Linked DNA regions of Anolis sagrei. The protein of the gene in region 1 purifies or fractionates together with the protein of each later gene. This does not show direct contact. Links are inferred from orthologs where the notes say so. Each region holds a gene or a part of one and is shown on either strand. Other genes may lie near its edges. The genes, in order: CLUAP1 and IFT46.

Region 1 (16,062 bases):
GATGTTTTTGGGCAAATAAAAGAACACTTCTGAAACTATGCTATATATGTTTTTGTGCACTGACATCTCTTTGTCCCTAACAGTTCAAAGAGATATCTAGGTATGTTAGTTTGATGGTTGAGAAACCTAATTGCCTTCCATTAATACTAGTGGATATCAACCACTAAGGAGAAGGTTGACTCAAGCGAGTTTTTAGCTCTTCTCAGGGATATTCCTGATTTTCCCAAAATGGTGGTGAATGCTATTTTTGAAAAGGTTATGAAGATTTCCATTTCCCAAAAGTTATGGTTTCTAACAAGGTCATGCCTTTCCAAAGATCATAATTCTCAAAAAAAGTGTAGATCTCAGCAGAATAAAGCTTCAAATGCAGCTGATTATTATTATTATTATCCAACAAGGAGACTTTTTATGAATATGTAAATTGAAAATAAAAACATGTTCCTGTGAAAAAACAATTCATAGTTGAAAACCATGAAAACATAACCAAAGCTAATCTTAGCTTTGGACAGAGCAAGGGCACATAGATGTCCCCATTTGGCAGCGACAGTCTCAACAAATCTTTGTCATCCCACTTTTCCAACTGCTTTTAAGTGTCCCAGTTTCTCCCAGCTCCTTCCACTTCCCTCCTTTGTCCTCAGCTTATTTCAGTTGCTGCAAATTGAGTTCAAAGTGAAAAAAAAATATGGTAACTCAGAAGGAAAGAAGAAGAAGCAGTGGAAACATGCTCTTCACCATTGCCTCATAGAATCATAGAGTTGGAAGAGACCTCATGGGCCATCCAGTCCAACCCCCTGCCAAGAAGCAGGAATATTGCATTCAAAGCAGCCCTGACAGATGGCCATCTAGCCTCTGCTTAGTCTCAGGCAAGAGCAAATTGCTGCAGCCTCTCCTCACTTGTCTGTCCTGTCCATTCATAACATTTCTCATCTTGGCCCCACTCTGGTGTTGCTTGGCCAATTGTGTCCTTTACCTTTGTCATGTATTATGTTCTGCAGTTGATGGTGGTTGGTGAAGGAAGGGTGAATGTAAGTATTAATTCTAAAGGGTTTAGTAATCTGTAAGTAAGAGTTCATGGGTGAAAGCAATTAAGGGTGGAGGTATGCAAGAGATAGGTTGCAGCTGGGTGTTTCTGGGTATAAGGAGCGAGCCTTGGAATGAATCTTTGGGAGAAAAGTATTTGTCTTATTTTGGTGGCAGATGCTGCTGGTTTTACCTCAGATTTGTTGGGTTTTCAGTATCCTGACCAGTCTCCTATAATCTTGGAACCCTGGAAACTTGAACCTGTGGACTGGCTTTTGACTACGGTATAGACTCTTGATCCCTGGGCTTTGTTTATTGAACTCTCAGCGTTTGACCACTGGACTGGACCCTTTGACCACGGTGTAGCATTTGCTTTCAGTTTTTGTTTATTCTGTGGCTGAGTGCTATCTTTATGTTTTATGTTTTAGACTATTGAAACAGCCAGAAAGTAAATGCTGTTTTAATTTAAAAAAAATAACACAAACTGGGTGTTTCCTTGATTCACCTCTGCCGCAAATAACGGCAGAGCCCTGGCAATGTGACAAGCTTTCACCTATGAAGTGTTGGAGGGCACAAGAACACTCAAAAGTTCATTGTAAAGTTTGTTTCATTTGTTCAGTTCGTCATCCACTTTGCATTCTGTGGCATATCCCAGGCGTGCTCTCCAGGAGAAATGACATGCCTGTTCCTCTTTTTGTACCTTCTTTGTGCATTGGGTTGTAAAATAGGGAACAATCGGATATTGAGATTAGGATATTCAACAATTTGCACCTTTGACTGTGAGGCAGGAATGAGCATTTCAGTGCCACTGGCAGTGCTTTGTGTTTCAACCACATTATTATCCAAAGTCTTTGCAAATCCTATCTCCTAGTGGTATACATAACATGTTGAGGATCACATGCAGACGTGTCTTTCATGGATTGGTTTTGATCTGTTTCTTTGTGCCTTTTGCACAAACTCCATTCATCCAGAGAACAACTCCATTCCAAGTTACCTTCCCGACTCATCTCCCCGCATTGCCTTCTTTCATTGAAAAAAAAAAAACCCAGCCCTTTAATGTAATGCCAGAAATGAATACTGACGCTGCAGGAAAGAACAGAGAATATTTCAAAGGAGCAATCGTTCAAAAGTGTGGGGGGAGGGGGGGGGGGACAGAAGCCGAATTATTAATGCAAATGGATAGGATCCAGTGAGTTCTGGGAGAAGAAATGCACAAAAAAATATGAGTCAGTGCATGACGTAAAACCGCAATAACACTATGTAACAAAATTTAAAAAATGTTCTGTTTCTGTTGGAAAGTGTAATGTCCTGTTTAATTGTGTGGTCCTTACTTTGAAAGTAGTTGCTATTCTCCAGAAACCTAATTTTTATGCCACAAACCTGGTTGATTTGGTTGCGACTCTATAATGAGATCTTCACTGAAAAACTAGAACAAAAAATGCTACGGGATGTCCCTTGCACAAAAGCAAAGTTTGTGCAGTTTAATCAACTTTCCCCATGTTTTATGATATAACCAACTAGGAAATCACATTTATAACCCAGGAACAAAAATTGTGTTACAAGTGTAATTGGGCAACAGAAAGGCAAGCTGGATAAAACCATGGAGGTCTATGCCAAAATTTCTAAATTTTAAATTTTGGGAATGTAGCTCACCTGGAATAGGAAAGATTAGTGTCTGTCTGCTTTCCTACAAAGTATAGTTCACCTTTTTCTTGACATCAGGGAGGAGCAACAATAGAGAATAATAAAGGAAGGGTTGACTTTTGGATTTGTACGCCACATATTAGGACTGGACACAACCAGAAAAGCCACCTTGAGTCCCCACAGGGAGAAAGGTGTGGTATAAATTACTATTATTATTACTGATGTTGTTATTATTTATTCAGGAAGGCCATAAAATGACCCCATATTCACTACCCCTTATGGTTCCCAAGGCTAGCGAGAGGGTTAGGTTGCTGTCAAGTCAAGTTCACTTTATTATGGTTCAGTGACCAGTTCAAGAAAAGCGTTCAAGGATATCAGAGTTAAGGGTTAAGAGATTTCAAACTTTAAAATAAGCATACCATTGTTAGGACATTAAGAAAATCAACTTAAGAATCTGAGCGAAAAGCCATATATAGGAGTTGTGCAACTGCCTTGGCTTCAAATGGTGTGAGTATCGCTGTCCTGACCTGAGATATTTTAGTACAGAAGACGAGCTCTTTTGTGCAATCCACATAGATTGCTGTCAAAATTCAAGATTTACGTATGAGAGCTGATATTGCCATTTATGCTGCTTGCCCTTCGGAGAGAAGGCAGGCAAGATTTGCAGAACTCCTGCAAAGTCCAGAAACAGTAGACTGGTAATGATCCCATAGAGGAGGAGGTTATTCCAAGTCTCCTGCATAATTCAGAAAGCTTGAGAGTGTGAGAGACCCCAAGCAATACATTTTTCATCACAAGAAGTGTGATAACATTTCGGAAAGATAGTCGGGCCGAGCGGGCTGGATTTTGTCCTTTATGGGGCCATAGACCCCAATCTTACTCCTGCATCCATCTATCTATCCATTATTGAATTTTCAAGTGATGCTTAAAATATACATTCAAAAAAAAAAAAAAAAGGAGGAAGAGGGGAGCAAAAAGATAAAGAGGTGGGAAAGCATGTAGCATATGACTGAAGGTAAGCTATCATAAAACATACATACATATGTTCTTTAAGCTGTTATGAATCAAAATATTCATGTGTAGCTAAAATACTTAAATCTTTTAAATGATAGATTGTGTAATAATAATAGTAGTAGTAATAATAATAATAATAATTCTTTCCTGCCTGTCCTCATGGCTCGAGGGGGGTTATAGAATAATTAAAACACATACACATTATAAAAATTCCATAAATACACATATTAAAATGTATTTTACAAAAGATACATATGAAAATGTATTTCTATAAAATATATGTTAAAATACACAAAACAGTGAATAAACAAAGGACACAAGTTTAAAATTTGTGTTTAAAAACTGGCTGGGTATGAAAGACATTCTCTAGGTTTAAGAATATAAGCAGTTCGTGCATTTTCAAAATGCCCATGTATTTGTTGTTGTTGTTGTTGTCATTATTTTCTTTTTTTATATTCTGCCTCTCTCCCAAGGGGGCTCAATGTGGCTATTATTATCTGGGAACTTATCCCCGCCAAGTATAGCAGTTGTGCTGCATTTATAACCGTATCAAACAGTTGTAATTTAACTTTATTACAACTCTTTGATGCTGTTATAAATGTAGTACAAGAATTCATACGATTCTTAATTTGCAAGTAAAGCAAGAATCCAATTTAGTTTGTACTATGTTGTATCCCAAGTTGTTGTTGTTGTTGTTGTTGTGGAAGGCATATCCATATAGACTGCACACCAAGCATATCTTGCTCAACAGTAAGTACAATTGTTAAGTATAAAGCCAAATGTCAAACGAAATTAAAAACAAGAACGCAAAATTAATAATACGATTAAATGAGAGAGTTAGTTAGCAAGTATCATAGAAGTTAGGTTCTTGTGGGGTTTTTCGGGCTATAGAGCCATGTTCTAGAGGCATTTCTCCTGACGTTTCGCCTGCATCTATGGCAAGCATCATAGAAGTTATTGTTAGTAAATACTGTTAAGCAAATATCACAGATTTCAGTTATTTCAACCTATGTCTCTATAGAAGTGTATTTTAAAGTGCTTCAAAAATAATTGATAGTGGCTATGCAAAAAAAAAAAGTTTTCAATGTATTATAGATGAAGCTGGGCTATATTGGAAGAAAAGGCCAGCTAGAACTTTGATTGCAAACGAAGAGAAATTTACAGCCGGATTCAAACCTATGAAGGATAGCATCATCTTATTTATAATTCAGAGAATCCTGGGGCTCTTGGAAACTTTAAAGCCTATCCTTCCAATTTGTTGCAAAAGGAATGCAAAAGCTTTGATCCATAGCAGCTGAATGATTTATTTATTTATTTTTATCATCATCATCATCATGTACATAACAACACAGCACACATGCGCGCTAGGTCCAAGTGTGTGTTCTTTGTCTCTGAATACTGGGCTTTTCTTAAGCGCCTGGGATATTAGAGGTACTATTACATTATTATTATTATTATTATTATTATTATTATTATTATTAACATGTACATCATAACACAGCACACATGCACATTTGGTCCAAGTGTCTGGGATTTGCCTCTGAATACTGGGCTCTTCCCAAGGTCCTATGATATTAGAAACATTATTATAATGATGAGGAGATATTAGAAATATAGATATTTATTGATTTATGCATAAAATCATATGTACTTTATAAGCACTGAAATGCATAGAAAAATCTAGTTCCCTCTGTGTATAGAAAGAATGCTAACGGACAAGCAAACTGCTTGTCTTCAGAAGGGGCTGAAGAGGGAGGGGTGACATTCCAGAGAAGAGAGATAAGCCTGTCCGAGAAGCCCATACTAAGGAGCAACGGGCTGGTACTAAGGAGCACCTCTTGACAGGTCAGAGAGGGCCCCTTTGATGGATGAGTGTAAGATGCTTGCTCTGCAGCAAGACATGCCTTTTTGCATGTGGAAGTTAGAACCTGATATTCTTATGATGCTCAGATGACGTAGGGATGATGATGATTGTATGTTGTAGCATGTTCTTTGTTTGCTTGAACCTGGAAAACTATAAAAGCCACAGTCCACACCTATTTCAGTTGCTCTGGTGTTTTTTGGGAGTTGACTCCACACCAGGCCCCAGCTGGTAAATAAAATCCATGCTTTCAAACCTCCGGACCTCTCTTTGTCTCTTTTCCTCAAAACCTATTCCTTGCCATTTCAATAATATAATATATTATTATATATTATATTAATTATTATATATATTTATTATTGCATTGTATATTATTATATTATATATTATTAAATTTATATGTACATAGCAACACAGCACACAAGTGAAATTGAGCAATTTAAGACAACCGCAGATAGTAAGATCAGGGCCTTGGATAGCAAAACCTGAAGGGTGGATACCGAGATCCAATAAGCGAATGCTGGTATTGGCAGCAGGCCACCCGTGGATCTGTGTGCCTGGTGAGACATAGAAGCTACCCAGTGTTCCCAAATAAATCTCACCAAGTTGAAGAAGCCGCCACCGAGGTAATTTATTAAAATCAGATGAAGTGATGCCAGCTTGCGGTAATCCACCTAGGCTCTGTCGACGTCATGAACAGCTGAAGGAGGATTCCCTGCAGAGGCGGGTTTGTAGCCAATAGGATTTTGTTCCCTGCTTCATATATATATATATTGTCGTGTCAGGAGTGACTTGAGAAACTACAAGTCGCTTCTGGTGTGAGAGAACTGGCTGTCTGCAAGGACGTTGCCCAGGGGATGCCTGGATGTTTTGATCCTTTATCATCCTAGTGGGAGGCTTCTCTTGTGTCCCCACATGAGGAGTTGGAGCTGATAGAGGGAGCTCATCCGCACTCTCCCCAGATTTGAACCTATGACCTGTCGGTCTTCAGTCCTGCTGGCACAGGGGTTTAACCCACTGTGCCACCGGGGGCTCCATTTATTTAGATAATTTCTATCCCGTCCTTCTCATCTCCAAGGAGAGATTCAGGCTGCTAACAGGCACCCTTCGGTGCCAAACAATACACAACATAAAATACATTTAATCGCCAATAAAAACAGTTATAAATACATAAAAAACATGTTGCCATTTCATATCATCCTCCGAATAATCCACAGCCATTCGTTCAATAGTCAATTAAAATCATCTTCAGTCCATTGCCATCCGCAAAACCAGTCCATTAAAACCCTCTATCTAGGGAATGCTTGATCCCATAACCAGGTTTTTTAGCTTTTTCCGGAAGGCCATGAGGGAGGGGGCAGATCTAATCTCATTCGGGAGGGAGTTCCACAGCCAAGGAGCCACCACTGAGAAGGCCCTGTCTCTCGTTCCCACCAACCGTGATTGAGATGGTGGTGGGACTGAGAGCATGGTCTCTCCAGACGATCTTAAGGTCCTTGGGGGTTCGTAGAGAGAGATACATTTGGACAGGTAAGCTGGACCAGAGCCGTTTAGGGTTTTATAGGTCAAGGCCAGCACTGTGAATTGTGCTCAGAATCTAATAGGCAGCCAGTGGAGCTGGCTTAACAGGGGAGTTGTACATTCCCTGTACCCTGCTCCTGTGAGCAGCCTGCCTGCCGAGCATTGGACTAGCTTAAGCTTCCGAGTAGTCTTCAGATTCCCGCTCTCCAATGGCTGATGGGGGGCAGGGTTGTCTGGGAGACAAAGGAAGTGTGAAGAGGTCTTAATGGGACAAACAAAGGGGGTCATCAGGTCCCATGTGTTTTATTATAAAGATAATTGTGATATGAGTCCCCAGCGAATAAGTCCAGCACCTTTGGCCCTGCTGTCCATTGAGTCAAAAGCATAGATATTGTCCATGTTGACAGGATTAAGCAGTTTGTTCCTGGGAAAGGGGAAATGTTATTGTTATTGTATATGCTGGTCTTGGCCTATAAAACCCTATACGACTCCGGCCCAGCTTACTTGTCCGAACGTATCTCCTTCGACGTTCCACCTTGTAGTTCAAGATCAACCGGCGAAGCCCTGCTCTTGGTCCCACCAGCTTCACAAATGCGTCTGGTGGGGACGAGGGACAGGGCCTTCTCAGTAGTGACCCCCCACTTGTGGAATTCACTCCCCAGCAAAACCAGTTTGGCTTCTTCCCTCCTTTCCTTTAGGAAAAAACTGAAATCATGGTTTTGGAACCAGGCCTTTGTCCAGCAGGCATGATAGCACTTTGGACATCGAACTGGACTATATGACTGTGATAATAATGGAAATGACTATATGACTGTGATAATAATATTTAATTGTTTTTAATCTATTGTTCTATTTATTGTTTTATATTGCTGTAATTTGTTATATTTGCGGCATCAAATTGTTGCCAGTGTAAGCCGCTCTGAGTCCCCAGGGGTTGAGAAGAGCCGGGTAGAAATGTTGCAAATAAATAAATAAATAAATAAATAAATTGTTGGACAGTGGAGCATGACCTCCCTGTGTACAGATAGTCATGCCAGGTGATGGGTGGCATTGTACTGTCCCAGTGACTGAGGCAAAGGACGGGTGGCCCTGCAAATGCCAAGAAGCAGGAATATTGCATTCAAATCACCCCTGACAGATGGCCATCCAGCCTCTGTTTAAAAGCTTCCAAAGAAGGAGCCTCCACCACACTCCGGGGCAGAGAGTTCCACTGCTGAATGGCTCTCAGAGTCAGGAAGTTTTTCCTCATGTTCAGATGGAATCTCCTCTCTTGTAGTTTGAAGCCATTGTTCCGCGTTCTAGTCTCCAGGGAAGCAGAAAACAAGCTTGCTCCCTCCTCCCTGTGGCTTCCTCTCACATATTTATACATGGCTATCATATCCCCTCTCAGCCTTCTCTTCTTCAGGCTAAACATGCCCAGCTCCTTAAGCCGCTGCTCATAGGGCTTCTTCTCCAGACCCTTTATCATTTTAGTTGCTCTCCTCTGGACACATTCCAGCTTGTCAATATCTCTCTTGAATTGTGGTGCCCAGAATTGGACACAATATTCCAGGTGTGGTCTAACCAAAGCAGAATAGAGGGGTAGCATTACTTCCCTAGATCTAGACACTATGCTCCTATTGATGCGGGCCAAAATCCCATTGGCTTTTTTTGCCGCCACATCACATTGTTGGCTCATGTTTAACTTCCTGTCCACGAGGACTCCAAGATCTTTTTCACACGTACTGCTCTCGAGCCAGGCATTGTCCCCCATTCTGTATCTTTGCATTTCGTTTTTCCTGCCAAAATGGAGTATCTTGCATTTGTCACTGTTGAACTTCATTTTGTGAGTTTTGGCCCATCTCTAATCTGTCAAGATCCCTTTGAATCCTGCTCCTGTCCTCCGGAGTATTGGCTCTCCCTCCCAATTTGGTGTCGTCTGCAAACTTGATGATCCTGCCTTCTAGCCCTTCATCTAAGTCATTAATAAAGATGTTGAACAGGACCGGGCCCAGGATGGAACCCTGCTTATGGCACTCCGCTTGTCACTTCTTTCCAGGATGAAGAGGAAGCATTGGGGAGAATCACCCTCTGGGTTCGTCCATTTAACCAATTACAGATTACAATATACAGATAATATATTATTATCACTGTATTATATATCCATTATTATCATTATATTTAAATGTACATAACAACCCATTTTAAACACTGGCCTTTTTATCCCTTTTAACACCAGGCAGGCCTTTCCTTTCCAGTCTTGGGTTTGTCCAGCCTGTGTTAAAAATGTCCTTGCTTTCAGGCCCTGGCATTGCAAAGCACCGCTTTCCGCCGAAGTTTGAGCCCGGCGCCTCGCCGTTGCGACGTTGCCATAGCGACGCGGCCTAGTCCTGGAAAGCGACGCGGGGAAGCCTGGCCGAGGGAGAGAGAGAAACGAACAGACACAGAGACCCAGTTGGCGCCCTTACAGGGACCATGTCTTTCCGCGACCTCCGCAGTGAGTCCCATGGCATCATCATCATCGTTGTTATTATTATTATTGTTATTGTTATTATTGTTATTATTCCTCGCTGGAGGGTATAAAAAGGAAATCTAGAGGCCCCGAGGCCTGAGAATGGGGAAGGAGGCCCGCCCCGGATCTGCTTCACTGCCTGTTTTATCTAACTTGTCTCTTTCCCCGCATTTTCGAATCCTCTATCTAGATAGATAGATAGATAGATAGATTATCTTCTATATAAATAAAAATGTAATGTTCGTTTGTGGGATTAACAGAACTCAAAAACCACTGACACCAATTTTGGACACAAGACACCTAACAACACAATGTATGTCCTTCACTAAAAAAATTGATTTTGTCATTTGGGAGTTTTAGTTGCTGGGATTTATAGTTCACCTACAATCACAGAGCCTTCTGAACCCCACTAACGATGGAATTGAACCAAACTTGGCACACAATTCTCCCATGACCAACAGAAAATACTGGTGGGCAGTGTCCTTTGGTTTTGGAGTTGTAGTTCACCTACATCCAGAGAGCACTGTGGACTCAAACAATGATGGATCTGGAACAAACTACACAAATACTCAATATGTCCAAATGTGAACACTGGTGGAGTTTGGGGAAGATAGACATTGACATTTGGGAGTTGTAGTTCCTGGGATTTATAGTTCACCTACAATCACAGAGCATTCTGAACCCAACCAATGATAGAATTGGGCCAAACCTCCCACACAGAACCCCCATGTGGGCCACAGCAACGCGTGGCAGGGGACGGCTAGTATATATATATATATATAGAGAGAGAGAGAGAGAGAGAAATATATATATGTGTGTGTGTGTGTGTGTGTAATCTATCTATATAAATATCTATGTAGGTATAGGTAATCTATCGATATCTATGTAATCTGTCTATGTAATCTATCTATCTATATGTAATCTATATATAGTTTATCTATGTAATCTATCTATGTAATCGATCTTTGTAGGAGGTAGATTACATAGATAGATAGATGATAGAGGTAAATAGATAGATTACACATTTATTTATTTTGCATATTTGTATCCTGCCCTTCTTGCCCCTGGAGGGGGACGCAGGTTGGCTTCACAACCAATGCTAACAACAGTTATAAATGATAAAAGTAACTAAAACAATTAGTTAATGCTTTAAAATTACTAAAACATTGTTTAAATTACACAGGTTTGAAATCATAGTCCAGGTCAGTCCATTGTCATTCACACAAATTGGGCCTCATTCTAAATTGCTTCCTCTACTGTTTGAACGCTTGGTCCCATAACCAGGTTTTGAGTTTCATTTTAAACTACAAGAGGGAGGGGGGCAATCTAATGTCACTGGGTAGAGAATTCCACAGGTGAGGGGCCACCATTGAGATATACCACAGATAGATTACATATATATAAATAGTTAGATCTATGTAATCTATCTTTGTGTGGAGCCCCCAGTGGCACAATGGGTTAAATCCTTGTGTCGGCAGGACTGCTGACCGACAGGTTGGCAGTTCGAATCTGGGGAATGGGGTGAGCTCCCATCTCAGTTCCAGCTCCCCATGTTTAGACATGAGAGATGCCTCCCACAAGGATGATAAAGCATCAAAACATCCGAGAGTCCCCTAGGCAATGTCCTTGCCAACGGCCAATTCCCTCACACTAGAAGCAACTTGCAGTTTCTCAAGTTGCCCCTGACATGAAAAAAAAATCTATCATAGTAATCTGTCTCTATCCATCCATCCATCAATCTATCTATCTATCTATCTATCTATGTAATGTATCTATTTATCTATATCTATCTATGTCCATGGTTCTCAACCTGTGGGTCCCCAGATGTTTTGGCCTTCAACTCCCAGAAATCCTAACAGCTGGTAAACTGGCTGGGATTTTTGGGAGTTGTAGGTCAAAACACCTGGGGATCCACAGGTTGAGAACCACTGACTATGTAATCTATCTGTCTGTCTGTCTGTCTGTCTAATCTATATAACCATAGAATTGGAAGAGACTTTGTGGGCTATCTAGTCCAGTACATGGATGTATAGATATCTGTCTGTCTGTCCATCTGTCTTTGTCAATGGTTCCCAACCAGTGGTCCACAAGAACTAAAATATGATCCGCAAAACATTTAAAATTTTAAACCTTTATTCATTTTAATGAATTTGTTGCTAGGTGGGCAACGTCAGCGAGTAGGACATCAGGCCAGTCAGGAGTCTGGGGTGGAGGGCAAGTGATCGTTCAGTCAGTCGTACACATTCTTTTGTCTTGCTCGACTATGTCAGTGATTCTGTTTTGCTGTTTAGTGATTCAACGGCTCCAGTAGTTTTACTGACTGTGAACCCTCAATATTCATATTAATTTTTTACTTATTTAATGGTGACTGAAATGGAGAGGCTTAAGAAGAAATCAAGGAAGAGCTCATTGAATTTCAAAATGATAGAAACTGCAAGGACGTGTTTGAATCTGATTCTCTTGAGGAGTTTTGGTGCAAAAAAGTGATTTTTTTATTCTAAAATTCAAGGAATTGCCTTGCACTATCTTATGCTCTTCTCCACAACTTTATGCAAACAAGGGTTTTCTGCTTTGCTGGTAATTAAAAACAAGTCCAGGAATCGATTGAAAGTAAATAATGATGTGGTTGTAGTTTTGAGCAATAATATTAGCCCCAGGAGTACCCTATTTGTAAGGAAGGTGCAAGCTCAAAAATCACATTGATGCAAACTAAATTTAATTTTCTATTTAAAATGTTCTTTTTTAAAATATTGTAATAGTACTCTTATTTCATGTTACTATTAAGTTTAATGAATATGTTAAAAGTTTTGATTAAAATTTATTTTTAGATTACACAGTTTTATTTATTATTCTTGAACCCTTTGGTCCCTGCTAACAACAAAGTGGTCCCTGATAATAAAAAAAAAAGGTCGGGAACCACTGATCTATGTGATCTATCTATGTAATCCAGTGGTTCTCAACCTTTTTTTGACCAGGGACCACTTTGAACAGGGGACAACTCTCTACGATTAGTACCAAAAGGGTTATGTATCAGTTTTTGGTCAACTTTAGATTTGGTTTGGTTATTTGAGATGTTGAATCAGAAAATTGCAGCTCTAGTCCCTGATACAGAACATATGCCATTCAGTAGTCGCCTTTTTGTTGTTGTTGCTGTTTTGTGTCTAATTATGTTGTATTATTTTTGGGCTTGGCCTCATGTTAACCGCCCTGAGTCCCCTTTGGGGACATGGTGGTGGGTTATAAATAAAGATGATGATGATGATGATGATGATGATGATGATGATTATCATCATCATCTGCTTACCCACAGAAAACCATATTTAATAATCTAGCACTGATGTGGTAGTAGTAATCTTCATGGATAGTCAGCCTCTCCCCTCTTGATATTCCCCTTGCCTTGCCTAAGAGGGTTTCAGCAACAGCTCTTTTTGCTGTGTGGTTTCAAGGCAACGTTGTAGTAATGGTGAGGCTGCAGACCATATTTTCATTCTTGTGGACCACTTGTGATTCATGGACCACAGTTTGAGAACCACTGATGTAATCTATTTATCTATCGATCTATCTATCCTAATCTAATCTAATCTAATCTATTTCATCTATTCATCTATGTAATCTGCCTACCTATGTAATCTGTCTGTTTTATCTAATCTCTCTTTTCCCACAGTTTGAAATTCTATATTTGTCTATCTAATCTATCTATCCATCTTTTTCTGCATTTTGGAATTCAACATTTATTTAATCTATATAGCCTATCTATGTAATCTATCTATATTATATTATATTATACTATATTATATTATACTATATTATCTATGCAATCTATTTTATCTATCTGTCTATTCTATCTATCTATCTTATTTATCTTTCCATGTGCACAAATTTTCTTTCATTCACAAAATTATTACAAATATTGTGTATAAAATTACATTAAAGTTATGTATATGATGTGCATATGAAACATAAACATAGACCTGGTTTTCATCTCAAGATGTCTTATTGTGTGCTTGCAAGTATTTGAAAAAAATCCAAAAAATAAATTAAAATGGAATACCTCTGGTTCCAAGCCTTTCAAATAAGGGATACTAAATCTGTGTTGTACTTAACAAACATTGCATCCATCTTTAATAGCAATGTGGAACTCATTGCACTTTTATGTACATATTTCTCTTTTTCGTTTTCTCTTTTTGGCCTCCTTTTTCTTCTGTTTCTGCTGAAAAGTTTAAAGAAGTAATGAGGTGCTGATGCTTCTATAACCCTCTGATTAAATCCTAGTTAACTCACCTTACCAAGACTTGTGTGCGTGAGATTGAGTATGATTCCTGCATGAACTTAAATAATATCTTTGTTTCTAAAGATTTCACTGAGATGATGAGGGCGCTGGGTTATCCCCGGCTTATCTCAATGGAGAATTTTCGCACGCCAAACTTCATGCTGGTTTCAGAGATACTTCTTTGGCTGGTGAAAAGGTTGGTAATTAACTTTCAATTGAATATCAGAGGAAATGTGACAGTGATTTCTGTTAAATACCTCCGTCTGTGAAAAAGTGCTTTTCTTCAATATGAACTTTAGATTTGTAGTCTCTTAAAAGACCTCCAGGATCAAAATGTAATTCTAATAGGTTCAAATTTTAAAATGATCACGAAGTCTCAGCATACTGAGATTTTATAACTTTTAGCTCTTCGCAAGATTTTAAATCAAACATATTCTTCAGATTAAAATTGCTTTCTAATATGGCCTTATATTTAAAATTAGACATCAGAGTAATTTTATGGCAGTACTCTGTAACACATTTCTTTTGAAAATGATGATAAACTACTTATCTGGTAAAGAGGAATTAATTTGTTATTAGTATGAAGAATTAAAGCGCACATTTTTCAATTTTGCTTTGAAAGTCAGACTTTTTATTATATGAAAGGCAAGCATAGGTTACTGGGATTTGGTTTCCACCAGAAAGTATCGTAAAACATAGTGATTTTTTTTCTCCATCCAAGTAGTTTACTTTTTTGAGCAGTTAGTTGTGTTAGAATTTCTCAGGACTGAATCTAATCTAGGTAAATATAAAATAGATAAACCTTCATCCTGGTGTGCTTCAATAATAAAGACTGGTGACAACATATGTAAGCTTGACCCAAGTTTTGCCTTCCATAATAACCTGAAATGGCTTGCCTTGTTGTGTGTGCTGCCAAGTCCAGTCATATTCATATAAGCTGGGTTGCATTGAATTGAACTTTGTGAACTGATCTTTCAAGATGAAAGATGCTGCTAGAATGCCCACATTTTAATAAAAAATAATAGCATCTTATGACAAGCTTTAAAAACTTTAAAGGCATCAGATCCCATTTCCAGTTTGATTGTTTACTTCCTGGCCATATTTATAGAAGCTTACAGCCATTGGTTGATGAATGTTGTTTTTAATTGGGTATTAGTTGATGTTTTAAATGTCCATATGTTGTATTTAATTGTATTTTTAAAATTGTTTTCATTTTATGTTCTGTTTTTAGGCACCTTGTGCCACGTGTAAGCCAACTCAAGTCCCTCCCGGGAGATGGTGGCAGGATACAATAATAAAATTGTTGTTGTTGTTGTTGTTGTTGTTGTTGTTATTTATTATCTTGGAAGTTAAGCAGGGTCAGTTGTACGTGCTACTTGGATGGGAGACTGCCAAGTTTTTGTGAGTTTGCTAGAAGGGGATCCCTTTAATGTTTTTTCTTGCCAATCTGTGTTGCAAATCTTACTGTTCCTTGTTGTGGATTGGTCCGTGTTGGGTTTTATGTTTTTAATGAGCCCTAATTCTACTCCAAGGCACTTTGAAGAGAAACAGTACCAGTGGCGGAAATGCAGTAAAAATGCAACACTGCCATAAAAATAAGCATTTATTCAACTCTGCAGATATTTCCTTTTTCAGATATGAGCCTCAGTCTGATATACCTTCAGATGTTGAGACGGAGCAAGACCGGGTTTTTTTCATTAAGGCAGTTGCTCAATTTATGGTGAGTCATTTTATTTTAGAATTTAGCATGAAATACTGTGCTTGATATATTTGCCATAGCTTATATACCTTTTTAAAATACCAAATGTATATGTGACTTAGGTTCTCTGAAGGACATTATCTCCGTATAAGAGCTGCCCATGTTTTCAGATCTTCTGTCCCAGCACCCTCACATGGGCATCTCATGGTTTCTTCCAGGCTCTGGAAGTCCTTTCCTAGAGACCTTAGACAGGCACTGTAATTGTGCAGGCAAGTAAAAGAGCTTTTTTTCTTTCAGCAGCAATTTGAAGGTGGGAAAGGTCTATTCAGAATTTGTATAACACTTTCATTTTATTATTTAATTATATTTTTAACTGTTGCATTATATATATATATTTCTAGCTATATACGCTTAAACTCTTGTAAGTCACTTAAAAGTCCGAGAACAAGTACAAGTTCTCATATGAGTAAGTATAACAACAACAAACAACAGAATACATAGAGATGAAAAATGAGCAAATGATTACAAATCTAATATCATGA
Region 2 (16,351 bases), on another chromosome or scaffold:
CATTAAAAGAGAAAAAAAATCATAAAATAAATATTCCAATTAACACAATCACAGTAAGGATGACAATGGGTGGGATGGTAAAACATCCGGGCGTCCCCTGGGCAACGTCCTCGCAGATGGCCAATTCTCTCACACCAGAAGCGACTTGCAGTTTCTGAAGTCGCTCCTGGCACACACAAAAATTGCAACCCAACAGCCCTTGTGGCTCTGAGGTTGGAGAAAGATTAACAGGCATTTGAAAGTCAGGCATCATATTCACAAGCCTTGTATCTAAGCATATGAGCCTTTGCACAATTAAGACTCGTGCGCCAACTGCGACCGTACCTCGGGAAGGCGGATCTGGCCAAAGTGGTCCACGCCTTAGTCACCTCTAGACTGGATTACTGCAATGCACTCTATGTGGGGCTGCCCTTGAAAACGGCCCAGAAATTTCTGATGATCCAAAGGGCTAACGACGTGGAGGGCTAGATTCGGCCCGCAGGCCTTGAGGTTATTAATTATTATTTATTTATTTAAAGCTTTTATATCCCAATCTTCTCTACCTCCGCAAAGGGACTCAGACCAGCACATATATGGCTTAAGTTATGTGCAAATGCACCTCCCGAGGAGTCAGGGTCAGCTGGAAGGATGTGTGGCCGTACCTTTCCCAGCAACTCTTCAAACTCAGGGGGCCACTCCTGCATCAGCGTCTCAATGTCCGGCATGGGCCTGGAAGGGAGAAAGAAGCACGGCGACTGAGTCCCAAGCTCCAGGTCCAGGTGGGGGGCTGCACCCCTCATCCGTCCCCCCCTTGCCCACCTGGTGTAGTGGACAGTGGCAGGGGGCTTGCAGCGGTGGAGCTCACTGATGCTCTCAATCCAGTTGTCGATGGCCTTGGGGTTCTTCTCCGCGTTCTCAAGGCTCTTCACTTTGACCTGCTGCTAGAAACAGGCACTGGTCCCTATATCTGCTGTGATGCAATCCGAAGCCTGCCTGCCTGCTTCCCCTGCTGTGTGGGGCCACCCCCAAACAGCCCCCTCCATCCCTCCCTCCCTCCCTCCCTCTTTGCCCGGCTTACAGCCACGTTGTGCTGCTTGGAGTTCTCCGTCAGCCAGAGGGAGAGCACCGTGGGGTCGGACTGCTTCGTGGAGGGCTCATCCAGCACCAGCAGGCCCAGGTTGTCTGGCTTCCCGTCCGGGCGGGGGACCTGAAAGCAGCAGCCCAAGGCAGAAATATTAAAAAGTAACTAGGTGTTCTTAATTACAAAAATGTGAGTCAAGCACTGAAAGGGTTAAATGGAGGCAATCACTCCGCCAAAGCTGCACTTCAATGTAAGCAGGTGTGCCTGTAGCTTAGTAGCCCTCAGTGTCAGCAAACCTTAGTCTGAGAGAGGCCTCAGTATGATAGGCCTCAGTTTAAGAGAGACCTCAGTCTGTGAGAGATCTGTGTGGAAGATGGACCTCAATGTGTTAGTAGGCCTCAGTGTGAGAAGGCCTCGGTGTTAGTTTGCCTCAGTGTGAGAGAGGTGTCTGTCTTAGGGAGCCCTCAGTGTGAGAAGGCATCAGTGGGAGAAAGGCCTCAGTGTGAGGTAGGCCTCTGTGTTAGAAAGGCCTCAGTGTGAGAGAGTGTTCTGTGTTAGACAGCCCTCAGTGTGAGAGAGGTGTCTGTCTTAGAGAGCCCTCAGTGTGAGAAGGCATCAGTGGGAGAAAGGCCTCAGTATGAGAAGGCCTCAGTGTTAAGTTTGCCTCAGTGTGAGAGAGTGGTCTGTGTTAGACAGCCCTCAGTGTGAGAAGGCATCAGTGGGAGAAAGGCCTCAGTGTGAGGTAGGCCTCTGTGTTAGAAAGGCCTTAGTATGAGAAGGCCTCAGTGTTAGTTTGCCTCAGTGTGAGAGAGGTGTCTGTCTGAGAGAGCCCTCAGTGTGAGAAAGGCCTCTGTGTTAGAAAGGTCTTCAGTGTGAGAAGTCCTGGTGTGAGAAGATTTGGTGAAAGGAAGCCCCAGGTTGAAGGTCACTGTATGTGTCAATGTCCCCGACAGAAGTAATGAAAGGGACACTGTACTTTTAAGAAGGCATCGATGTCTCCGACAGCAGGGATGAAGTCAGGAATGAATGGCTTTAGCTTGTGCTCCAGGTCAATCATCTGTGCGGAATACCTGGGGAGGGAGAGGGCCCAGTGAGGAGGGGGCCCAGTAAGGAGGGGACCCTAACAAGCACAATCCTCCCCTGCCTGTGCTCCTGCTCACCTCCGAATGTACTGGAAAAGCTCCTTGACCTCCAGGGAGACAGGTAGGTAGTCGTAGTCTGCGGAGTTGTAAGCCCTGAGGAAAGAGGTAGCCATGATACAAGGGCCATGAAGCCCCTGGATATTGGGGGGGGGGGGGGGGGGGATGAAGAAGAGCCAAGCAAAAGCCACCTCCTGCACAAATCTATTGCTCTCTTCACAGAAAAAAAACATTTCCAGACAGATCCTGGGATATAGGGCTTTAAATTAGATTATAGAGTATGCACTGTAAGATAATCTGGGATAAACCAAAAACTTGGGATCACATCCTGAGATAGAGGGCCTGATGGCTGTCTGTCAGGATGCTTGCCAAGGATGGCCTTTGTGGGCCCTTCCAACTTTACGATTCTGCAACAGGCTGGATGGCCAACTGTCAGGACTTGTATTGTGCCTTCCTTCCTGGTAGAGAGAAGGGGGTTGGACTGGGTGGCCTTAGGGGTGTCTTGTTACTCTGGGATGTCGTCCTGCTTGGCAGAGATAAGGGAGTTAGATTGGCTGTCCTTGGGGGGGCCCTTCGTGCGGATGGTACCCCTCCAGAGGCGCCCCGTGCTCCTCGTCTTCGTCATCCTCATCCTCGGAGTCAGTCTCGGAGTCGTCCTCATCTTCGTCCTCCACCTCGTTCCCGCTGAAGCGGCGCTGGGGGCCCTTCTTCTCCTGCGGGGAGGAATAAAGAGGGAAGAAGAGGAGGGAGGCTCTGGGGTGAAACCTTCCCAACAGATTGTTGAATTACAAGCCTTGAAACACGTTTTCACCACAAACCACACTCTGCCCAGGTAATCCAACAAGTAGCAGTTTATTAAAAAAGAGTATATATATAAAAAAAATAAGAGAATAAAATTCAAAATAGAGAATCAAAGTCAAAAAGGTTATTTCCAAGATAGCCAAGACTCTCTGGGCAGAAAATCCCACAATATCTGCTTTGAATTGAATATATGGCACTGTGGACTCAGATAACTCAGTTCAAAGCAGATATTGTGGGATTTTCTGTCTTGATATTCTAGGTTATAGGGTTGTGTGGAAGGTCCCCAAAATTCCCTCAAATAGAGTTTACAGAGTCAATCCACAGAGAAATCCATAAACAAGATAACATGAATCCAAAGCAGGCAACCCATGCCACACAGGAACTAGGAGCAAGAACAAACATGAATTCCAGGAACATAGGAGTCCCCTTCAGGGTGAGAAAAACGGTATACAAATACTGTAAATAAATAAATAGGACCAAAAATGTAAACAAGAGCTGTTCACCTGATTAAAACCTTGCTCTCACAAAGGATTGTACCGGCAGGAACAACTTTAAAAGGTCTCCATCCCTCCCATGACATCATTTATCATGCACCTGCTCTCCCCCTCCTTATCTCTAATTCTCTGGGGAAAGTGAGTGTGTCTTTGTTGCATGCCCTGTCTCTGAAATTCCAAGCTCCTTGATGTAGACAAACCTTCATCTCCCACATTTCTCTCAGCCTACACTTCTTGCAGGGTCTCATGAGAACTGGTATTGCTTTCTCCAGCCTCGTGGGAACTGCCACTTCTATCCTCCTCTGGGCCATCCGAATCAAATTATTACAAATTGACCATCCAGTTACATACTACACAGTGTCAGGTAGTATCCTGGTCAGAGTCTAGGCTCTTTCTCAGTCTTGCTGCCACTGCGAGGAACTTTCCCACCGTCTGAACCTACCCCAGCATCCCCTTCCCTCATCTTTGAGCACCCAGGAGATGACCAAGCTGCAACACAGATGGCCATCCAGGACGGACCTTGCCTGCCACGTTGTGGACCTCCTCCTCATCGTCGTCGTCGCTGCTGTCCGGGGCCAGGCCCTTGTGTGGGGGGCGAGCAGGGCGTGGGCCTAGAAACAGAAAGGGCCCCAAGTGAGGCTGAGGAAGGGGAAGGCCTTGAAACCTTTAGGACCAACCTGGGCCAACTCAGGCCACCCCTCCAGGTGTTTTGGACTCTGACTCCCACTATTCCTAACAGCCTCAGGCCTTTTCCTTTTCTCCCCCAGCCTCCAGATGTTTTGGACTCCAACTCCCACCATTCCTAAAAGCCTCAGGCCATTTCCTTTTCTCCACTAGCCTCCAAATGTTTTGGACTCCAACTCCCACCATTCCTAACAGCCTCAGTTTGCATACTGCAAATAGCTTCTGGTCACTTCTGGAGTGAGAGAATCAGCCGTCTCTGAAGAGGTTGCCCAGGGGACACCCAGATGTCTTGCAATCCTGCGAGGAGGCTTCTCTTATGTCCCTCTTCATAGATCTGTCAGTGGCTTATGATACTGTCAACCACCGCCTCCTCCTGAGAAAAATGTCTAGTATCACAAAGGATGACCACCTCACCCGCCTCATAGGAAACCTGCTACAAAACAGGAACTTTTTTGTTGAGTTCCAGGGCCAGAGAAGCAGATGGCGGAAACAGAAGAGCTGCCCGCTTCAGGGGAGCGTGCTTGGTCCATCCATGTTCAACATCTACACAAATGACCAGCCACTGCCAGAAGGGACAGAGAGCTTCATCTATGCTGATGATCGTGCCATCACCACTCAAGCAGGGAGCTTTGAAATGGTAGAACAGAAGCTCTCCGAAGCTCTAGGTGCTCTTACTGCCTATTACAGGGAAAACCAGCTGATCCCTAATCCATCTAAAACACAGACATGTGCCTTTCACCTTAAGAACAGACAAGCATCCCGAGCTCTGAGGATGACTACCTGGGAAGGAAGGAATCTCATGGGAGCATTGCAGCGCACCCAAATACCTGGGAGTCACTCTGGACCGTGCTCTGACCTACAAGAAGCACGGCCTGAACATCAAGCAAAAAGTGGGCGCTAGAAACAATATCATACAATCAAAGAATCAAAGAGTTGGAAGAGACCTCCTGGGCCATCCAGTCCAACCACCTGCCAAGAAGCAGGAATATTGCATTCAAATCACCCCTGACAGATGGCCATCCAGCCTCTGTTTAAAAGCTTCCAAAGAAGGAGCCTCCACCACACTCCGGAGCAGAGAGTTCCACTGCTGAACGGCTCTCACAGTCAGGAAGTTCTTCCACATGTTCAGATGGAATCTCCTCTCTTGTAGTTTGAAGCCATTGTTCCGCGTCCTAGTCTCCAAGGAAGCAGAAAGGAAAGCTTGCTCCCTCCTCCTCCCTGTGGCTTCGTCTCACATATTTATACATGTGGAGGGAGCAAGCTTGTTTTCTGCTTCCTTGGAAAGCTGACTGGCACAACCTGGGGATCACAACCAGACACAGTGAAGACATCTGCCCTTGCGCTGTGCTACTCTGCTGCTGAGTACGCACGCCCAGTGTGGAACACATCTCACCACGCTTAAACAGTAGATGTGGCTCTGAATGAGACATGCCGCATTATCACAGGGTGCCTGCGCCCTACACCACTGGAGAAATCACACTGCTTATTTATTTATTTATTTACTTTGCTTGTATACCGCAGTTTCTCAGCCCGTAGGCGACTCAACGCGGTTCACAACAAGAGCAAAAGTCAATCCAACAACATACAAAATTTAAAAACCATTAACAGCATAATATACAGAATAATGACACATTAATAACAACACATTAACGTCTCGTAACTAAAATCGTGATCCAATTCGTCATCCATAATTCTGTTTCCTATATTCATCGTGTACATTGCACTGTTTATCCGAACGCCTGTTCAAACAGCCAGGTTTTTAGTTTCCTTCGAAACACCATTAACGAAGGGGCTGATCTAATGTCCATGGGAAGGGCGTTCCACAGCCGAGAGGCCACCACAGAGAAGGCCCTGTCCCTCGTCCCCGCCAGCTGTGCTTGTGATGCAGGCTTAGCCGGTATTGCACCACCTGACATCCACCGGGAAGTAGCAGCCAATAGTGAAAGGACCAAGGCAGAGATATCTCCAGCTCATCCCTTGTTTGGGTATCAGCCAGCACGTCAACGACTTAAATCTAGAAATCGTTTTCTAAGATCTACATAGACACTCGCCGGAGCACCCCAGCAAGCGAGAGTCCAAAAGTGGCAGGCTCAAACCCAGCCCAACACTACTGGAGAAATTACACTGCTTAGCCAGTATTGCACCACCTGACATCCACCGGGAAGTAGCAGCCAATAGTGAAAGGACCAAGGCAGAGATATCTCCAGCTCATCCCTTGTTTGGGTATCAGCCAGCACGTCAATGACTTAAATCTAGAAATAGTTTTCTAAGATCTACAGAGACACTCGCCGGAACACCTCAGCAAGCGAGAGTCCAAAAGTGGCAGCCTCAAACCCAGAAATTGATGATAAATGAGAGACAGCCTCAGGCCTTTCTCCCCCAGCCTCCAAGGGGTTTGGACTCCAACTCCCACCATTCCTAACAGCCTCAGGCCCCTTCCTTTTCACCCCCAGCCGCTTAAGCGTCCAAATCTAGAAATAGTTTTCTAAGATCTACAGAGACACTCGCCGGAACACCTCAGCAAGCGAGAGTCCAAAAGTGGCAGCCTCAAACCCAGAAATTGATGATAAATGAGAGACAGCCTCAGGCCTTTCTCCCCCAGCCTCCAAGGGGTTTGGACTCCAACTCCCACCATTCCTAACAGCCTCAGGCCCCTTCTTAAGCGGCTGGGGGTGAAAAGGAAAGGGCCTGAGGCTGTTAGGAATGGTGGGAGTTGGAGTCCAAACCCCTTGGAGGGTAGACCCAAGCCTGACTGCGGTGAGACCTGGCTGCGGTGGGCTGGGAGCGTAGATACTGGCCACATCCTCCGCCTCGTGCACTTCCAGGCTCTCATCGTAAGGCTGGTTCTCCACCAACCGCGTCTGCAACCCAGGCTCCGGCCCTGAAGCTTGACTAGGCCCAGACGCCGCCATAGCAACGCCTGCCTTCAAAAACAACTTCCCCGGAAGTGGCTCCGTTGCCAAGGAAGTGACACCAGAGCTGTGCTGAGCGGAAGGGGCGGGGCTTTTGACGCCTGCCTTCAAAACACAAAAAAAAGTCTCCCCGGAAGTGGCTCCGTTGCCAAGGAAGTGACGCTAAGAGGAAGGGGCGTGGCCTCCGCTGTCTAACTGCGCGGTGACGCCACTTCCGCCTGGGTCGACGTGGCTCGGGGCCGCCATCTTCTGTGTGAGGAGGACGAAGCGGTTGCTCGAAGGGAAGGCGACGAGGGAGACGCCGACGCCATGGTGAGCCGGGGCGGCCTGCCAAGGCCTCCGGGAGCCTCGCCTAACTCTTCCCCAGGCTTCTCTTCGGCCTAGGCCGGCGTTCAAGCCTTTTAGGGGAGTCACTGTGAGGAAATGGGCCTTCCAAGGCTTTGGACTCCATTTCCCAGAATCCCTGACCCTTGGGCAAGGCGGAGGAGGCTTCTGGGAGTTGTAGGCTTTTGGAGACAGTTGTGTTGCTGCTATTTTCTCCATTCCAGTGAGCGTTGCTTCTCTGCAGCTCTTGAGTAACTGTCATTGGGAAGTTGGGGTTCCATTCTGCACCAGTGTTTGGATTACAGCTCCCATGCTCCCCAAAATGGGAACTTCCAGGCTAAATTCAAAGGTCTGGCTTTAACCCTGAGGCCCCTTCCATACAGCTCTATAAAATCCACATTGAACTGCTTTGTGGAAGGGCCCTGAGTCCACACTGCCATATAACCCAGGCCAGAGCAGATATTGTGGGATTTCCTGCCTGATATCCTGGTTTATATGGCTGTGTGGAAGGGTCCTGTGTCCATACTGCCATATAACCCAGGCCAAAGCAGATATTGTGGGATTTCAGCCTGGTATCCTGGTTTATATGTCTGTGCGGAAGGGCCCTGAGTCCACACTGCCATACAACCCAGGCCAAAGGAGGTATTGTGGGATTTCCTGCCTGACATCCTGGTTTATATGGCTGTGTGGAAGGGCCCTGAGTCCACACTGCCATATAACCCAGGCCAAAGCATTTATTTGTTGTGTCAGGGGCAACCAGTCAATTATATTACATTTCTAACAGAACACTATTGGCTGTGGGATTTCCTCCCTGATATCCTGGTATATCTGCTTTGGCCTGGGTTATATGGCAGTGTGGACTCGGGGCCCTTCCACACAGCCATATAAGCCAGGATATTAGGCAGGAAATCCCACATTATATGGCTGTGTGGAAAGGCCCTGAGTCCACACTGCCATACAACCCAGGCCAAAGCAGATATTGTGTGATTTCCTGCCTGGTATCCATCAAGATTACTAAGATCGTCTGGAGGGGCCCTGCTCTCGGTCCCGCCAGCCTCACAAGCGCAGCTGGTGGGGACGAGGGACAGGGCCTTCTCGGTAGTGGCCCCACGACTCTGGAACTCTCTCCCGCCAGAGGTTAGAACCGCCCCAACAATCCTGACATTCAGGAAACAGGTGAAGTCGTGGTTATGGGGACAGGCTTTCAAAGAATGAGACAATGATCTGGATGGAAGACGGCGTATATTCGATTTTAGTATGATGACTGACCACGGTAGTTTTAATACTGCTTTAATTGTTTTAATTTGCTTTAAGTGTACTGTTATGTTGTGTATTGAGGCCTTGGCCTTTATAAGCCGCATCGAGTCCTTTGGGAGATGCTAGCGGGGTACAAATAAAGTTTAATAATAATAATAATAATTATCTGAGTCCACGGTCAGATAATGTGGGATTTTCTGCTTTGGTATTTTGTGATATAGAGCTGTGCGGAAGCGCCTATGGCCATGTGGACTCTGAACCCTTCCACACAGCCATATAACCCAGATTATCAAGGCTTCTTCTTTGAACTGGTTTATCTCTTTTAGAAAGAAGCTCAAAACATGGTTTTGGGACCAGGCCTTTGGACAGTTGGTTTGGCAGTATTTACAGTGCTTGAACTCTGACAATGACAGGCTTTGGACTGAGTCGTCAGTTGCTAAATCAGATTTGGACTTGGCTATATGATGAATAATAATGTTTTTATTGTATTTAATCCAGTGTTTTAAATATATTTTTATCTTATGTTTTTTTCTCTTGTGTAATGTTATTGTATTTGTGTTCTAAGTCACAGATATTGGCCCCTTCCACACAGCTGTATAACATCCACATTGAACTGGATTACATGGCAGTGTGGATTCAGATAATCTAGTTCAAAGCAGATACTGCGGATTATTTACCTTGATATTCTGGGTTATTTTAAACAGAGGCTGGATGACCATCTGCAAGGTGTCCTTTGAATGTGATTTTCCTGCTTCTTGGCAGAAGGGGGTAGGACTGGATGGCCCACGAGGTCATCTTCTGTTCTTCTTGTAAAGGAAATTCCACTATCTAGCTCTTTTAGCAGATGAATGTACTCCTCTTCACATAAACCTGAGACCTCATGGGCCATCCAGTCAAGAAGCAGGAATATTGCATTCAAATCACCCCTGACAGATGGCCATCCAGCCTCTGTTTAAATCCTTAACAAGAAAGAACATTATTCATCTGTGAACATTACAGCCTCTTCCAAAGAGGAGTATATTCATCTTTATAGAAAGAAACAGGTATATCCATTATAGTGTGAATGCAAGTTTCATGTTTCTCTGTATATACTATACTTTATTAAGTGCTAACATTTTTTGCATGAAATTTTATATATATATATATATACACACACACACACACATACACCGCATACATATGTACATAAATACACACAGATATAGAACTGCAGCCATTTAAAATCCTAACGTAATTTTGTTCTAATGTTGAAATCCTTAATACTTGTTGCCACCAAATTTCCTGATTGATATTTAGATGCTTTCAACAGCCAATAGTTTTTTATTTGGAAGAAAGGAGGATAGATTTTTGTGTCGCCCTTAGGTTTTAAACAAAACGATCTGTTTACATGTGTTGTGTGTTTGTCCTTTTGTGAGTAATGTTAGTTGAGTAAGTGGTGGCGATTTCCCACTGGTTCCTGCTTGCATGGCCCCTCTGGGCAGAAACTGTATTTTGAAAGACACCGTGTGACTCTGGGGCCTTCCACTCAAAATATCAAGGCAGAAAATCCCACAATATCTGCTTTGAACTGGGTTCCATGAGTCCACACTGCCATACATTCCAGTTCAAAGCAGAAAATGTGGGGTTTTATTCAGCTGTTTGGGAGGGGCCTCTGTGAAAGGAGTAGGGTGGGACTTAGCCACGTATAAATATTGGAAAGGAGGCCATAAAAAAGATGAAGCAGGTCTTGTTTTCTGCTGCCAATAAAAACTAGGACTTAATGGAGCCATGGGTTCAAAGGATAGGAAAGGAGATTTCACCTGAACTTCCTGACTAAGAAGAAGAGCTGTTTGATAATATTGTAATGTGAAACAATATAATACTACTAATAATAATACAATAGTATAATTATATATTTTATATCACATGTAATATTACTAATAATATTACAGCATAATCATATAGTAGGTAAAGGTTGCCCCCTGACATTAAGTCCAGTCATGTCTGACTCTGGGGTGTGGTGCTCATTTCTATTTCTAAGCCGAAGAGCCGGTGTTGTCCATAGACACCTCCAAGGTCATGGGGCCGGCATGACTGCATGGAGCGCCCTTACCTTCCCGCCGGAGCAGTACCCATTGATCTACTCACATTTGCATGTTTTCGAACTGCTAGGTTGGCAGAAGCTAGGGCTGACAGCGGAAGTTCACTCAGCTCCCTGGAATTGAACGTGCAACCTTTCGGTCAACAAGCTCAGTGCTTTAACACACTGCACCACCGGGGGCTCATTATTATATAGTTTATATATTATATAATAATATTTTATATTACATGTAATATTATTAATAATATTACAGTGTAATCATATAGTATGATATAGTAATATATACTACTAATATTGTGCTATGGTAAGAATATAATATATTAATGTATTGTCAAAGGCTTTCATGGCTGGAATCACTGTGTTGTTGTAGTTTTTTCGGGCTATATGGCCATGGTCTAGAGGCATTCTCTCCTGACGTTTCGCCTGCATCTATGGCAAGCATCCTCAGAGATAGTGAGGTGACCTCACTACCTCTGAGGATGCTTGCCATAGATGCAAGCGAAACGTCAGGAGAGAATGCCTCTAGACCATGGCCATATAACCCGAAAAAACTACAACAACCCAATATAATATATTGTATTTACATACTACTTATAAGCTACTCTGAGAAGGGCTACATATAAATGTCATAAATAAATAATAAATTCAATAGTGGAACTCTCCGCCTTGGAGTCTGGTGGAAGTTTCTTCTTTCTTTGGAGGCTTTTAAGCAGAGGGTGGTCATCTGTTGGGGATGCTTTGATTGTGCTTTTCCTTCCTGGCAGAAGGAGGACCCTCTTTGAGATCCCTTCCAACTCTCATTATTATGCCATGATTCTGTGATGGGAGCCTCTCCTTCCTCTTCCCTCCCGCAGGTGCTCTTGGCCGCCGCCGTCTGCACCAAGGCCGGGAAGGCCATCGTCTCACGCCAGTTTGTGGAGATGACCCGGACGCGCATCGAGGGGCTGCTGGCGGCCTTCCCCAAACTCATGAACACCGGGAAGCAGCACACCTTCGTGGAGACGGAGAGTGTGCGCTACGTCTACCAGCCCATGGAGAAGCTCTACATGGTGCTCATCACCACCAAGAACAGCAACATCTTGGAGGACCTGGAGACGCTGCGGCTCTTCTCCCGAGTGGTGAGAGTTGTGGGGACGTGAGGGGCGGGCCCAGGCTCATTCACATGGCAGGGAGGAAGCAATGTCCCTGGGGCTGGTCTTGAAACCGTTCTGCTCCAGAGGAAGTCCTTGCTGGCATCTGCTGGGTTTATGGGACTTGGCAGGGAAGCGATGCGGAGAAGGCAGCCATTCCACCTGTGTTTAATGGGGAGGAAACTCTGTTGTGGATTCATACATGATGTTGATTGCTGTAGTGAGAGATATAGAAGGGAAAGGAAAATGGTGGCTGCTTACTGTATATACTCAAGTATAAGCCTAGGTTTTCAGTCTTTTTTTATGCTGAAAAGATCTCCCCTGGCTTATACTCGAGTCAAGGTTATTTATGATTTTACTTTGTTGTTATTATTACATTTATTATTTTATTATTGTTGTTATTTTTACATTTATTATTTTACTCTATTATTGTTATTGTTACATTTATTATTTTACTTTACTGTTATTACATTTACTACTCTACACTATTATTATTATTATTGTTATTATTTTACTCTATTTATTATTATTGGAAGGATATGTAAGCGTATTTACATTGAAGAAGGTTACAATAATGGTTTAATCAGAGTTGGACAGTCTTATCTTGAATTACAGTTTTATGTAAATATTCAAAAACGTTTAACCTACTGATGCCTAAATTAATATAATTTTATTGGCATCTATTTTTATTTTGAAATTTAACAGTAGCATCTGCATTTCCCACCTTTGGCTTATACTCGAGTAATATATATACATATATATTTATATGTATGTATTATATTACTCGAGTAATATAATACATGTAATATTACTAATAATATTGCAATATAATGGTATAGTGCAATATAGTAATATATAATACTGATATTGTACTATGCTAATAATATATTGTATGAAACTATATATTGTAAGCCACTCTGAGTCCCCTTCGGGGTGAGAAGGGCGACATAGAAATGCCATAAATAAATAAATAAATATTGTTTCTCTAGAACACAGGTTCCTAAAAAGGAGGAATGCTCTGTCTCTTTATATAGTATTATTTATTTTATTTACAGTATTTTAAAACATGGATTTGGGACCAGGCCTTTGGGCAGTAGAAACAAATCTATGCAACATTTCGGAAAGACAATGACTGGAATGGCAATTCGACGGATGAGACTGTTTTACTGTTTTAATGATTATTCTACTGTTTATGGATGTATTTTAATTTGATTTATGTCTAACTGTAATTGTATAATTGTAATTGTTTGTGCTGGCATTGAATTTTGCCATTACCTATGTGGAAACCGCTTTGAGTCCCCTTCGGGGTTCGAAAAGCGGTATACAAATGTTGTAAATAAATAATAAAAATAAATATATCCCGCCTTTCTCAGCCCGAAGGCTACGCAAGGTGGCTTACAGTTGGCAGCAATTTGATGCCCCACTAAACATAAAATACAGTTTAAAAGCATTTAGCTTATAATATAAAACTATACAAAAACCAATAAAAAAGATACATCATCAGTGTCTCCTTCCTAAACTCAGTTTCCAGTCGTTCTGTAGTTCCATATCACCGATTACGCTGCATTTGCAAAAGCTTGCTCAAAGAGCTGGGTTTTGATTTTTCTCTGCTTCCACTCAGATCCCAGAATACTGCCGAGCGCTAGAAGAGAACGAGATCTCGGAGCATTGCTTTGACCTAATATTTGCCTTTGATGAGATCGTGGCCCTCGGCTACCGAGAGAACGTCAACCTGGCCCAGATCCGCACTTTTACCGAGATGGACTCCCACGAGGAGAAGGTCTTCAGAGCCGTCCGGGAGGTAAGCCCAAGGCTTCCTCCGCTGTGTCTCCCCTTTGATTTTCTTTCCTGACATCAAGTTTGGCATGGGTGAACTGCTTTGTTCTGGGCATGTTGGGAATCAACTAAGTGTCTCTTTCTGATGTTCAGACACAGGAGCGTGAAGCCAAGGCCGAAATGCGGCGGAAAGCCAAGGAGCTGCAGCAGGCGCGCCGGGACGCTGAGCGCCGAGGCACCAAAGCACCAGGATTCGGGGGGTTTGGCAGCTCTGCCGTCTCAGGAGGGACCACGGCCGCCATGATCACAGAGACCATCATTGAGACCGAGAAGCCCAAAGTGACTCCGATCCCATCCAGGTATGAAAGTGCCAGATTCCTACTACAAGCAAAGTGGTTTTGGAGGGAGCTGAACAGGGCGTCTAGGTGGGGTTGCCTTTGAAGATAGTCCCGAAGCTTAAATTAACAACAGGTTGCTAACAGGAGTGGCTCTAAGGGAGCACACAACTTCTCTGTTGCGCCAGCTCCACTGGCTACCGGTTTGCTACCGAGCCCAATTCAAAGTGCTGGCTTTGGCCTATAAAGCCCTAAACAGTTCTGGCCCAACTTACCTGTCCGAACGTATCTCCCCTTACAAACCATCAAGGACGTTAAGATCATCTGGGGAGGCCCTGCTCTCGGTCCTGCCTCCGTCACAAGTATGTTTGGCGGGGACGAGAGACAGGGCCTTCTCAGCGGTGGCCCCTTGCCTATGGAACGCCCTCCCCAAAGAGATTAGATCGGCTTCTTCGCTCCTAACATTTCGAAAAAAACTCGAGACATGGCTGGTCAAGCAAGCATTTGCAAACATTGAGTAATGGACATAGGAAAACGGAACAACTCTACGATGAAATTGGACAATGTTTTTATTGAGGATTTACCGATTTATGTTTTTACTGCTGTTGCTATGATTTTATTGATGTTAATGTTTTAAATTGTATTTGGATTCTGTGGCATTGAATTTTGCCTTGTAAACCGCCTCGAGTCTCCGCAAGGCTGAGAGGGATGGTATACAAATAAAGTAAATAATAATAATAATATACATCACACAGTCCCAGATGCTTGGGAAGTGTTCAACTTGTGATTTTGTGATACGAAATCCAGCATATAGATCTCGTTTGCTGTGACATACTGTGCTTTTGTGTCAATAATAATAATCCCATTGCACACAATGACATAGTAAATGGTGTGCTTTATATAAAATATAACAATAATAATAATAATAACAATAATAATAATAATAATCCTATTGCACACAATGGCATAGTAAATGATGCCTTTCTATAAATAATAATAATAATAATAATAATAATAATAATAATAATGTATACATCACACAGTCCGAGATGCTTGGGAAGTGTTCAACTTGTGATTTTGTGATACGAAATCCAGCATATAGATCTCGTTTGGTGTGACATACTGTGCTTTTGTGTCAATAATAATAATAGTCCCATTGCACACAATGACATAGTAAATGGTGTGCTTTATATAAAATATAATAATAATAATAATAATAATAATAATAATAATAATCCTATTGCACACAATGACATAGTAAATGGTGCCTTTCTATAAAATATAATAATAATAATAACAACAACAACAATAATAATGTATACATCACACAGTCTGAGACGCTTGGGAAGTGTTCAACTTGTGATTTTGTGATACGAAATCCAGCATATAGATCTCGTTTGGTGTGACATACTGTGCTTTTGTGTCAATAATAATAATAGTCCCATTGCACAGAATGACATAGTAAATGGTGTGCTTTATATAAAATATAATAATAATAATAATAATAATAATAATAATCCTATTGCACACAATGGCATAGTAAATGGTGCCTTTCTATAAATAATAATAATAATAATAATAATAATAATAATAATAATAATAATAATAATGTATACATCACACAGTCTGAGACGCTTGGGAAGTGTTCGACTTGTGATTTTGTGATACGAAATCCAGCATGTGACATACTGTGACATACTGTGCTTTTGTGTCAGTAAAATAATAATAAATAACTAAGTCATAGAATAATAGAGTTGGAAGAGACCACGTGGGCCATGTAGCCCAACCCCCTGCCTTGCAGGAAAAGCACAAACTCCCCCTGACAGATGGCCATCCAACTCTGTTTAGAAGCTTCCAAGGAAGATGCCAGGTCTGCATCCTTTGCTGGTGGGGTTACTCTTGCTTGGTGGGACCCCCACCATACGGCGTAGGGAGAAGGAGAGGGTTACAGAAGGGCCTCTTTTTGGCTCCTTGCTGGGCAGCAAAGGATCTCTCTATTGTCCTGCTCCATAGGCCTTCTGGCTCTAACAAGGCACTCAAGCTTGGTGCCAAAGGGAAGGAAGTGGACAATTTCGTGGACAAGCTGAAATCGGAAGGAGAGAACATCATTGCCTCTTCGATCGGGAAACGCTCCTCGGACGCAGCCGCGGTCCTTGCTCCGCCTGTTAACATGGAGAGGTGAGGAGCGCGGAGCCCTGGGCGGCCAAACAAGGAGGGCCTTTGGGGTGGCTTATGGGAGGAAGGCCTGGGGCACCTTCTTGCTGTCCAGCGGCCAAACTGATGGGGCTGCTGTGACCCTGCTGCTCCCCTCTTCAGCGTGCACATGAAAATAGAAGAGAAAATCTCCCTGACCTGCGGC

What was found.
Region 2: the proteins of CLUAP1 (region 1) and IFT46 purify together in Homo sapiens (affinity purification with mass spectrometry; 3 studies listed by BioGRID and IntAct, with this or other methods). This does not show direct contact. The link is inferred for Anolis sagrei from reciprocal best matches to the Homo sapiens genes CLUAP1 and IFT46.

What each region holds. Positions count from the first base shown.
Region 1 is NC_090034.1:26,669,757-26,685,818, reverse strand, and holds the start of CLUAP1 (clusterin-associated protein 1), read left to right. Parts: upstream 1-9,392; 5' UTR 9,393-9,514; coding exon 9,515-9,536; intron 9,537-13,905; coding exon 13,906-14,017; intron 14,018-15,456; coding exon 15,457-15,541; intron 15,542-16,062. UniProt on the Homo sapiens protein: Required for cilia biogenesis. Appears to function within the multiple intraflagellar transport complex B (IFT-B). Key regulator of hedgehog signaling.
Region 2 is NC_090027.1:43,554,688-43,571,038, forward strand, and holds the start of IFT46 (intraflagellar transport protein 46 homolog), read right to left. Parts: upstream 7,150-16,351; 5' UTR 7,091-7,149; coding exon 6,943-7,090; intron 4,106-6,942; coding exon 4,014-4,105; intron 2,913-4,013; coding exon 2,788-2,912; intron 2,296-2,787; coding exon 2,221-2,295; intron 2,131-2,220; coding exon 2,037-2,130; intron 1,187-2,036; coding exon 1,058-1,186; intron 918-1,057; coding exon 799-917; intron 709-798; coding exon 642-708; intron 1-641. Other genes in the region: ARCN1 (coatomer subunit delta), read left to right, coding at 7,400-7,402, 11,606-11,869, 13,503-13,682, 13,811-14,016, 16,006-16,170, 16,309-16,351. UniProt on the Homo sapiens protein: Forms part of a complex involved in intraflagellar transport (IFT), the bi-directional movement of particles required for the assembly, maintenance and functioning of primary cilia. May play a role in chondrocyte maturation and skeletogenesis.